3 linked regions of the Callithrix jacchus genome follow. The protein of the gene in region 3 purifies or fractionates together with the protein of the main gene of each other region. This does not show direct contact. Links are inferred from orthologs where the notes say so. Each region holds a gene or a part of one and is shown on either strand. Other genes may lie near its edges.

Region 1 (3,652 bases), on a different chromosome or scaffold from region 3:
GGTGCTGGCAACAGAATGGACAGCTAGATCCATGGAAAAGAATAGAGAGCCCAGAAATACATACCTTCACAAATATAGTCACCTGATCTTTTACAAAGGTAATACAATGGAGAAAAGATAGTCTCTTCAGCAATTGGGCAGAAGCAACTAGACACCATATTGCCTCCTTTACTCCCAAATAATACAGACACAGATCCTATATACTTCACAAAAATTAAATCAAAATGGATTAAAGGCCTAGATGTAAAACAGAAAACCATAAAATTTGTAGAATACAATATAGTAGAAAACCCACATGATCTTGAGTTTGTTGGTGACTTTTTAGATACAATGTCAAAGGCATGCTTCATTAAAGAAAGAATAAGCTGGACTTCATTAAAATAAAAAATTTCTGTTCTGTGAGAGACATTGTCCAGAGAATGAAAAAACAAGCCACAGACGAGAGAAAATATATGCAAAAGACATAGAAAGAGCTCTTGAATCTCAACAGTTAGAAAATTAATTAACCTATTAAAAAAAAAAAATAAGGCATAGACCTTAACAGACATGTCACCAAAGAAGATACACAGATGGCATATAAGCATGTGACAAGATGTTCCACGTAAGTCATCAGGGAAATGTGGATTATAACAATGAGACACCACTGCACACCTGTTAGCATGGACAAAATCCAGAACACTGACAACACCCAATGCTGGCGAGCATGTGGAGCAACAGGAACAGGAGCTTGAATTCACTGCTGGTGGAAATACAAAATGGTACAGCCACGTTGTAAGGCAGTTTGGCAGTTCTTACAAAACTAAACATACTTTTACCATATGATCCAGCAGTTGTGCGACTTAATATTTACACAACGGAATCAAAAACTTATGTCTACACAAAAGCCTGGACCCAGATGTTTATGGCAGCTTTGCCCATAATTGCCCAAACTTGGAAGCAACCAAGGTGTCCTTCAGTAGGTATATGGATAAATAAACTGTAGTACATCTAGACAACAGGGATAATTTTCAGCACTAAAAAGGAACGTATATCAAGCCATGAAAAGACAGGGAGGAAGTTTAAATGTGTATTACTATGTGAAAGAAGCCAATCTAAAAAGGCTACATACTGTATGATTCCAACTCTGTGACATTCTAGAAAAGACAAATCTGTGGAAGCCGTAAAAGAAGCGAGAAAAGGAACACTCAGGAGTATGAAAACAACTATTAATAACAATTTCCTTCCTTTAATCCTTTTTTCCTTTTCTGCAGTATATACATAGTCATTGTGTCACTTTATAATTTTTATTCTGATTTTTAAAAATGCTTAACTTTGTAATGAAGCATGATATTTTCTCATTAAAAACTCTTCATAGTTTACTTTGAGACTTTTATGAAATGTTGGACATTTTATTTTTGTAAACATAGGGGTATGCATTTTTAAAAGGTCTTAATAGTTATGTTGTCATGTTGCTTTCCAGAGATTGAGCCACTTCTTTATTTTTACGAGACATAAAATAAAATGGAAAAGCAGGGTCCTGCCTTGTCACCCCGGCTGGAGTACAGTGGTGTGATTGTGACTCACTGCAGCCTTGCCTCCTGGGCTCAAGCAATCCTGTCACCTTAGCCTCCCGAGTTGCTGGGACTACAGGCAGACACCACCATGCCTGGCTAATTAAAAAAAAAAAAAAAAACATATATAAAATTTGTGGAGATGGGTTTCCCAGGCTGGTATTGAACTTCTGGGCTCAAGTGATACTTCTGTCTCTGCCTCCCAAAGTGTTGGGATTACAGGCATGAGCCATAGCACCCAGCCAGTGAGTGACTTCTTTTCACAGATTTTATTTTTTAAAAGTTCCCTTTATGAGGCCATTGGTAAGTGTAATGAGATTAATAGCTAAGGGTTCAAATTAAACAAAATAGCACATCTATCCTAGTAGTTAACCACTATTGTCTGTATTCCTACTTGTTTCTTACCTGTTTGATATTCAATGTTTCTTATTTACTATAACCCAAGTATTTCATTTTATAATCAGAACATAAGGTGGGACAGTAATATTCATCAAAATATAGTATAATAATAAATCGTTGTTTGTGGCTAATCTTGTCTCAATAGATTTGGGATAAAACCAGCCTGGAATGTTTGAAAGTGTTAACAGGACACACAGGCTCTGTCCTCTGCCTGCAATATGATGAGCGTGTCATTGTAACTGGCTCTTCAGATTCTACAGTGAGGTGAGTGATCTGGCTTTGTTGATCTTGTAAGCCTTCCCTGAGAAAGTCTGTGATTGACATCCTCCTCTGGGAGAGGCATACATAAACTTTGCATACATTTTTACAGGCTGTGTTTCAAACTACTTTTGTTGTAGATATGTTTGAGCAAATTAGGCAAAACAGCTAATTTAAGAGTGTTGCTGTTCATTTTAGAGATGATAACATGCTTTCCTGTACGAGCACATACCAAGTATTAGTCTGGCTTTTTCCTTTTGGGAAACTGTGGTCCAGAGCAGAGAGGAGGAAGGCAGCTATTCTAGGAGTGTGGTGGGCACCACCTACAAATACTGAAAGACTCAAAAGCAGTTTGCAGAATCTTTTCAGCAACACCAGGAAAGTAAAATGTGAGAGCGGATAGTATACTCGGTACTCTGTATCATTTTATCAGTTCTCACATCAACCTTTCTGAAGAGGCAGATGTTACCTCCATTTTTGGAGTTGTATTAGGAAACCAAGACCAGAGAGATTAAATAATTTGCTCAGAGTCACAGAATTAATAAATTTTGAACCTTGAATTGATTCAAGTCATGACTGTATATGTAGCCTTGCCAGTAGTGGAAGCACTGATTTTCATTTGTCACTGAGTGGCAGAATGATGAAGATGAAAGTGGCAATGTTCTGCAGTACAAGGAAAGCAATGACGTTTGGGTAAGAGGTGAGCGAGTAGAAAGGGAACATTATTGATATCCATTCCTATACCTCTGGGATAAACGCATTTTTTTCACACCAGATGGGCTTGGGAGTTGGGTGTAGTGATGAGGCCATCAGAGCTGTAGGTCACACAGGAAAGCCTCAGCAAGACTACTGGTATCTGGAGGAAATGTGAAAGAGAAGGAAACAGCTCTTCTGGGTTGGGTCAGATATTTGAAGAGGATTGTTTTACAGGTACACGAGCCTAAGCGATTGGAATGGTCACTGAGTCTGTCTTTGGATACCCACGTTCTCCCCTTTTCACTCCTCTTTATGTTAGTTGTTGTTATTAGCCTCTCACTTCACTCCTGGACACTCTCACCACCCGTTTAAAGCACGCCTAGTATCCTCCTCTGGACTCATTGCTTCTGTACCACTGCTTCTGCCAGAGATTGTGTCTGAGCCTCAGAGGCCTGAGTCTTTTCTCCTCTGCCCTGTGTGAACTTGTCCTCTAAGGAAATGAGGGTTACAAAAAAGCCATGATGTGGAGGTGCTGCCCCCAAATCCCTGGATGTACAAAGCAGTTGCTAGATCCTGGCTTTGTCCATAAAGCAGCCGGATAAAGAAGTGGATGTGATGATTGATGAGGCATCATGACTTACCCAATTTGCAGTGGATAAATAATAGACTCAGAGGCCTGTCAGAGGTCAACAAGAACTGGAAGCTTGGAACTATTCTCACTTCTTCAGCTGTCAAGATTCCTTCTTCCT
Region 2 (3,652 bases), about 88 Mb from region 3:
CTCAATTTCCAGAGGCGTTAGTGATTTGATGACACAGCCATTATACTGCTGGAGTCCAGGATAGCTTGAGTTCTGGGTACCAGCAGCACTGCTGGGAACTTCTGTTAGGAATTTTGCCTTAAGCTGAAGTATTTAGCAAACATAATGCATCAAAAGTAACTTTAAAAAAAAATAAACCTAGGAAAAAAAGCAGTTAACTGCATTGTTCGATACTCTGAAGTTAAATGTTTACCATTCCAAGTTATCCTCTGTGAATAGAAAAGACTGTTTGTGGTTTTTGTCTTTTGACTTAAAGGCATAGCAAACTCGGTCCGTGTAATTATTGACATTTAACATTTATTGGTGCTTGTGGAGCAAGTGCCTCACTGAATCTGAAATACTGTAGATGCTAACATCATTTATAAGATAAAGAAAAAATGATATTCCATAAAAGGGGGCTAAACTGGAAAAAGGAAATAACATGTTATAAAACCCAAAGTAAATACACAAAAATAGAATAATCAAATATGTCATCACACAAAATTCCCAAGCTATCCAGTGGCCCCACACTCTTCTGTGAAGCCTGTATTTACAATGAGAGGGCTATTTTAAACCTGTACCCACTTCAAAGCACAGAAATGGGGGGCTTATAATTAAGAGTTGTGGTTATCTTGGCCTTTGACCTCTATGATAAGACCTGAGATCCAGGGAAATCAAACTCAAATTTGCATTGCTAAGTATGTGACAGAAGCATCTTGACCTATGTCATTTCTGGCTCCTGAGGGTTTTATTGGGATGGGCACTAATGCTACTGTTATTAATCAGATTCCCCATTTAAAATGTATCTTATTAATGGTATCAAATTGAATGTCAGAAGTTTTATAATAATCTTCAAGTCTGGGCCAAATTATTAGGTGACAGTGGCTGCCACCTCATCCTTGCCCTCCACAACTTGCCCATATTTCAAGCAGTGTGTCTAAAGGACACACTGGCAACATCCCATCCCCTTCCTTCTCCCACTCTCCCAGTCTGGGCTTCTCTCTACCACTTTCCCACAATCCATCAGTATTTACCGCAGCTTAGTGCTGCAAAGGAATTAAAGAGTAGAATTATAACACTTACCATGAAAATATGAGGAGTGGCAGGGCATATGATGGTCAAATATAGATAACAGATTGTAGCTTGAGTACCTTCTAAGTCTCATGTGTCACTTCCAGAGTGTGGGATGTAAATACAGGTGAAATGCTAAACACATTGATTCACCATTGTGAAGCAGTTCTGCACTTGCGTTTCAATAATGGCATGATGGTGACGTGCTCCAAAGATCGTTCCATTGCTGTATGGGATATGGCCTCCCCAACTGACATTACCCTCCGGAGGGTGCTGGTTGGACACCGAGCTGCTGTCAATGTTGTAGACTTTGATGACAAGTACATCGTTTCTGCATCTGGGGATAGAACTATAAAGGTAATCAGGTATCTTTCAGTAAGTCTCCAACTTAGAATAGGGGAATTCATATGAAAATGTGATCAAGGGCAATGTCATATTTAAACATCACTGAAGAAATATGTAGTATTTATTTCAGAGACTAGTCTACAAGTGAAAAGGTAATAAATGAGATGTGTGACAATATGAGCTAGGTATTTTATTCTTATAAATAATGGTGAGTGTGAGAAGGGCAGGGGCAAATGTAGGGTCAAGAAAAATGTATCTGCAAGATCAGACTAACCCTAGAAGAGAAAATCAGTTTGAGGAATTTTCTTGATAACAGCCAACAGCAAATTAGCCTCTATTACCATGAATTTAAATTGTCTTTTGCTCTGTTTGAGAATTTGACTTCCCTTTAATGGTTCAGTCTCATTTCCTGCTTCCCTAAGACTCCAGTTGCCATAGATTTTACCAGTAAAAGCACCAAATCAATTGCTCAATGCCGTTTTCTTTTTCAGGTATGGAACACAAGTACTTGTGAATTTGTGAGGACCTTAAATGGACACAAACGAGGCATTGCCTGTTTGCAATACAGGGACAGGCTGGTAGTGAGTGGCTCATCTGACAATACTATTAGGTGAGCAGCAAGTGCCTTTTATCGTAAATGATCAATATTATGCTCCCATTCATTATTAGTGCACAGATCAATCAAGTCTTCAGTTTTGTTATGTTTATAATCAACTGTTTTTCCTTTTTGTAGCTTCTTACAGGTCAGAAGCAGAGAGGCAGCAACAAAGCCTTTTGTTGCCCATCTTTTTTTTTTTTTTTTGAAATTGGAGTCTTGCACTGTTGCTCAGGCTGGAGTACAGTGGTGTGACTTGGTGCAATGTGTACTTGGCACATTGCAACCTTGGCCTCCCAGGTTCAAGTGATTTTACTGTTTCAGCCTCCTGAGTAGCTGGGATTACAGGCATGTGCCACCACGCCCGGCTAATTTTTGTATTTTTAGTAGAGATGGGATTTCACCATGTTGGTTAGGCTGGTCTCGAACTCCTGACCTCGTGATCTACTGGCCTCAGCCTCCTGAAGTGCTGGTGTGAACCATCATGCCCTGTCGTTGCCCTTCTTTTTAAATTTCTCCTGTCTACAGTTGCAAAATGCTATTAAGTTTTCTCTTTGTCATTGTTTGCCACTTAAGAAGTGAAAAGAAAGATATGTTTTCTTACTAGAAATTATGTAATTTTGGTCTTAGCATTACATAATTGGCCATAGAGTTACCTGTCCTTGAAATTATGAAGATTTCACAGTTGGAAGTCATTTTTTAATTTTCTCTTCACAAAGATGAATGACGTGGATATTAATAGAATTTGAAAGATCTATCCATCCTCTCTCTTCAGTGAAGTACTAAAAGGATGAAAAGGCCACTAAAAAAAAAAAACAGATAGAGCTACTGTTATATCTAAGGAAATTATTCCTAGAAATCACTTTAAAAAGTTCTGAAAAATAATTTCAGAATATACAGTTTTTAAAATTAGTACACAAAAGTTTTTGAGAACTGGCTTTGCATTTCCATTCTCTGAGAAAAACTGTCCTGGACAGTGGTGAAAGAAGTGTCCACTGTGGCAGAGGGAGAGGTGCTTTGTGAGAACAGGACATCACTGATAATCTGTATGGTGACTTCAGGAAACTACTTTCTTAGTTTGGTCATTTTCTTCTCAGGCAACTGTGTGCCTTGAATTCATCATTTTTATGCCTGGAAGAACCTGGTTACAGAATTATATAAAGCATTATACTTTGAAAATACATACTACATTTGAACTTAAACCTACATTTTTCTGCATGAGTTATATAGCAGAAAGGAAATAAATTACATTGAAAATGGTACTTTCTATGTGGGTGGTGATTGATTTTATTTTGTGAGTTTTTAGAAGGCATATGAAGTGTATTATTATAACACTCCAGACTTAGAATATGTGAAAAATCACTTGACTCACTTTTCTCTTCCAGATTATGGGACATAGAATGTGGTGCATGTTTACGAGTGTTAGAAGGCCATGAGGAATTAGTGCGTTGTATTCGATTTGATAACAAGAGGATAGTCAGTGGGGCCTATGATGGGTGAGTATAAAAAACAGTGTTAAAAAAAAAAGAAAATCTACCTCTTAATCCTTCCTTATGTTTATGGTGTTAAACATAACCATTCCTTGTTTCTAAAAGCTTATAGATTTTACACAAAGTATCTAAT
Region 3 (3,652 bases):
TGTTGGAGATGTGCTTTCTCCTTGGTCCGTGCAAACTCTTTTCCGCCTGCCCATTGGCGTAGGGGCCACAGCAGGGGAGTTAAGACTTGGCAGCCCCTTGACCCCAGACTGTCCCCGCCAATGGAGCAAGAGCTGCTCAGAGCCATTTCCCTGTTCTCCCAGATTCAAGGGCGTGAGCCCCTTGGCCCAGTCCTGGAACCCGGCACCCCGGGAGGGCCCCTCAGGAAGAGGCCGGGGCTGCGGCTTCGGGTGGGGCCGGCGGCCTCTGCTGGGAGCCCAGCATCTGGAAGCCATCAGGGCAGGGGCGGGGGAAGTTGCAGGGGAGGTCCAGGGAGGGAGACAGGCCTCCTCCAGGCCACACACAGGCCCAACCCTCGGGAGCGTGGCCTTGGGCCCACAACCGCTGCCTCTGCCCCATGGCCCGCAGCCCCGCCCTCTGGCGCGCACGCCCCGCCCCCGCAGGAAGCCCCGCCCTCTTCCCCAGGGCTGCCTTCTCACTCCACCGGCCGCTGCTCCTGCAAGGGTTAGTAGCGCTCCCCACAGCATGCTGGGAGCCTCGCTTCTCCGGCAAGGGGTGGGTCTGTCTCTTGGAGTGGGTGGGCTGCGGGGAGCACTGTCTGTAGGGGTTGTTGGCTGCGTGTCTTTTTGGGGAGTGAGTGGTATCTGTCTTGTCCTGAGTGAGGTGTGTGAAGTCTCAGCCTAGTGGGGCTGGGGCTTGTGGCTGGAGGCGTGGCCGTGAGGGTAGGAAGGGAGTGGGGACGTCTCCCTTAGTCCTGGGATTCAAAGCCTGAGACACTGAAGAGGCGCTCCAGGCGCCCAGCAGAGCGGGACAGCGTCGTCGTCCCTGACTGTCGGCGTCCCACGTGCATCAGAATCACACCATGCAGGTTTCTGGGCCCCACCAGGCCTGCTAGTCAGACACTGGGGCCAGCACCCGTCGTCTGCACAGTTTCTTAGCTCCTGGGTGTTTTGACGCTCACACTGGGAATTCTGTTGGGGAGGAGAAACTGCCCCCCGTGAGGGAAGCCAAGGAGGGGATGGGTTTTTGTTGTTGAGACAAGGTCTTACTCTGTTGCCCAGAAATGCACTGGCTCGATCATAGCTCCCTGCAGCCTCCACCTGTGGGCTCGAGCAGCCCTCCCACTTCAGCCTCCTGGAAGGAGTAGCTGGAACTACAGGCGTGCACCACCACACCTAGCTATTTTTGTTTTTTGTAGAGACAGGGTCTCAGTATGTTGCCTAGACTGATCTCAAACTCTTGGGTTCAATGATCCTTGGCCTTGATCTCCCAAAGAACTGGGATTACAAGTGTGAGCCACTGTGCCTGGCCCTCGCTGGGTTCTGAGCAGACTATCTTACCCTCAGCCAGCCTATTCAGTCCACCTGGGTGTCCCAGGAGCGCCCCTCCATCACCCTCTGGGGGTGGCCTGGCATCTTTTGCAGCAGGGGCGGGATGCAGGTTCTACTGGGACCCTCTGGAGATGAATGATGAAGAGGGCGCTTTGGCCAAGCCTGTTCCTGTCCTCTCTGGCAGCCTTGCCAACATTCCACTGACCCCAGAGACCCAGCGGGACCAGGAGCGGCGGATTCGACGGGAGATCGCCAACAGCAACGAGCGGAGGCGCATGCAGAGCATAAACGCCGGCTTCCAGTCTCTCAAGACCCTCATCCCCCACACAGACGGAGAGAAGCTTAGCAAGGTGGGTGAGAGCAGGGAGGGCTTCCCGGAGGAGGCGGCAGACTCCCTCTGGGAGAGGAAAGTGAGCTCTGGTAAACACTACCAGCTTGACGCTTGGCTTTTCCCTGCCTTCAGGCAGCCATTCTCCAGCAGACAGCCGAGTACATCTTCTCCCTGGAGCAGGAGAAGACCAGGCTCTTGCAGCAGAACACACAGCTCAAGCGCTTCATCCAGGTGCTCCCTCCCTGCCCCCCTTCCTGGCTCCCTCTCCTGGCATGGGCATCCCAGGACCCAACCCTGGGCCTGGGATGCAGGTATGGCTGCAGGCCCCTTCTTGCCCACTGGCAAGTACTTCAGGCACTTGTTTTCCTGCCCCAGCCTCAGTTTCCCCATCAGTCTAGTGTGGTGGAGTGGGCTCTGCAATGAGCCAGGTGACTGCTCCTGAACAGCAGCCCTTCTCCTGGCATTTGGCTGGTTTGTTGGACTTGCAGAAGGGGCTCCCTAATGAAGATCCACCTGTGTTGGGCAGCTTTGAGGGGCTGTGATGGAGCCCCAATCTCCGTGGTGGTGGTACCGAGGTGTCAGGCACACTGACCGACTCCTTGGGGTCCCCAGGAGCTGAGCGGCTCGTCCCCCAAGCGACGGCGGGCAGAGGACAAGGACGAAGGCATCGGCTCTCCGGACATCTGGGAGGACGAGAAGGCGGAGGACCTGCGGCGGGAGATGATTGAGCTTCGGCAGCAGCTGGACAAGGAGCGCTCGGTGCGCATGATGCTGGAGGAGCAGGTGAGGCAGCGCCCTCTGCTGGGCGCGGCGCGTGGTGCAGCGGGCGTGGAGCCTGGGGTCCCCCCTGTAAGGCTCTGCTACCCTTGGTTGAGCCCTATTTACAGGCGCACCTGCTGCGGTGCCAGGCTTAGGAGTGGGGAGCAAGCCAGACACGTCCCTGCCCTTGGGGGTAACCGTTTGCATCGCGGTGGGGGAGATTAGTCAAATGACCTAAAAAATGTAACCCTATGGGCTGGGTATGGTGGCTCACACCTGTAATCCCAGCACTTTGTGAGGCTGAGGTGGGAGGATCACTTGAGCCCAGGTGTTTTGAGACCAGCCTGGGAAGCGTAGTGAGATCCTATCTCCACCAAAAAATATGTGAAAATTAGGCAGGTGTGGTGGGGTGTGCCTGTGGTCCCAGCTACTCAGGAGGTTGAGCTGGGAGGATTGCTTGGGCCCAGAAGGTGGAGACTGCAGTGAGCGGTGATCGCACAATGGCACTCCAGCCTGGGTGACAGTGACACCCTGTCTTAAAAAGCTAGGTGTGGCCGGGCGCGGTGGCTCACGCCTGTAATCCCAGCACTTTGGGAGGCCGAGGCGGGTGGATCACGAGGTCAAGAGATCGAGACCATCCTGGTCAACATGGTGAAACCCTGTCTCTACTAAAAATACAGAAAGTTAGCTGTATTACAGGTGGCGCGTGCCTGTAATCCCAGCTACTCAGGAGGCTGAGGCAGGAGAATTGCCTGAACCCAGGAGGCGGAGGTTGCGGAGAGCCGAGCTCGCGCCATTGCACTCCAGCCTGGGTAACAAGAGCGAAACTCGGTCTCAAAAAAAAAAAAAAAAAAAAAAAGCTAGGTGTGGTGGTGCACATCTGTGGTCCCAGCTACTTGGGAGGCTGAGCTGGGAGGATGGCTTGAGCCCAGGAGGTGGAGGCTGCAGTCAGCTGTGATTGTGCCACTGCACTCCAGCTTGGGTGACAGAGGGAGACCCTGTCTCAAAACAAAAACCAAAAACAAAGCACTTAATCATGATGAAGGCCAGGCTGGAGCTGTGGCATCCGGAGTGGGTTTGACCTGGTTTTCCAAGTGATGCCCCATGGCTTCTCCATGGAAGTGGGAGGTTGAGTCTCATAATTAACCAAAGGGCAGAGAAGGGTGTTCTCGACAGAGGGAACAGCATAGGCAAGGGCTCAGACAGGAGGAA

Evidence for each region.
Region 1: the proteins of TFAP4 (region 3) and FBXW11 purify together in Homo sapiens (affinity purification with mass spectrometry; 7 studies listed by BioGRID and IntAct, counting the BioPlex papers as one, with this or other methods). This does not show direct contact. The link is inferred for Callithrix jacchus from reciprocal best matches to the Homo sapiens genes TFAP4 and FBXW11.
Region 2: the proteins of TFAP4 (region 3) and BTRC purify together in Homo sapiens (affinity purification with mass spectrometry; 4 studies listed by BioGRID and IntAct, counting the BioPlex papers as one, with this or other methods). This does not show direct contact. The link is inferred for Callithrix jacchus from reciprocal best matches to the Homo sapiens genes TFAP4 and BTRC.

The regions. Positions count from the first base shown.
Region 1 is NC_133503.1:64,156,300-64,159,951, reverse strand, and holds part of FBXW11 (F-box/WD repeat-containing protein 11), read left to right. Parts: intron 1-2,094; coding exon 2,095-2,213; intron 2,214-3,652.
Region 2 is NC_133513.1:94,486,734-94,490,385, forward strand, and holds part of BTRC (F-box/WD repeat-containing protein 1A), read left to right. Parts: intron 1-1,196; coding exon 1,197-1,446; intron 1,447-1,925; coding exon 1,926-2,044; intron 2,045-3,414; coding exon 3,415-3,525; intron 3,526-3,652. UniProt on the Homo sapiens protein: Substrate recognition component of a SCF (SKP1-CUL1-F-box protein) E3 ubiquitin-protein ligase complex which mediates the ubiquitination and subsequent proteasomal degradation of target proteins. Recognizes and binds to phosphorylated target proteins.
Region 3 is NC_133513.1:6,366,496-6,370,147, reverse strand, and holds part of TFAP4 (transcription factor AP-4), read left to right. Parts: 5' UTR 1-416; coding exon 417-523; intron 524-1,534; coding exon 1,535-1,700; intron 1,701-1,813; coding exon 1,814-1,912; intron 1,913-2,293; coding exon 2,294-2,464; intron 2,465-3,652.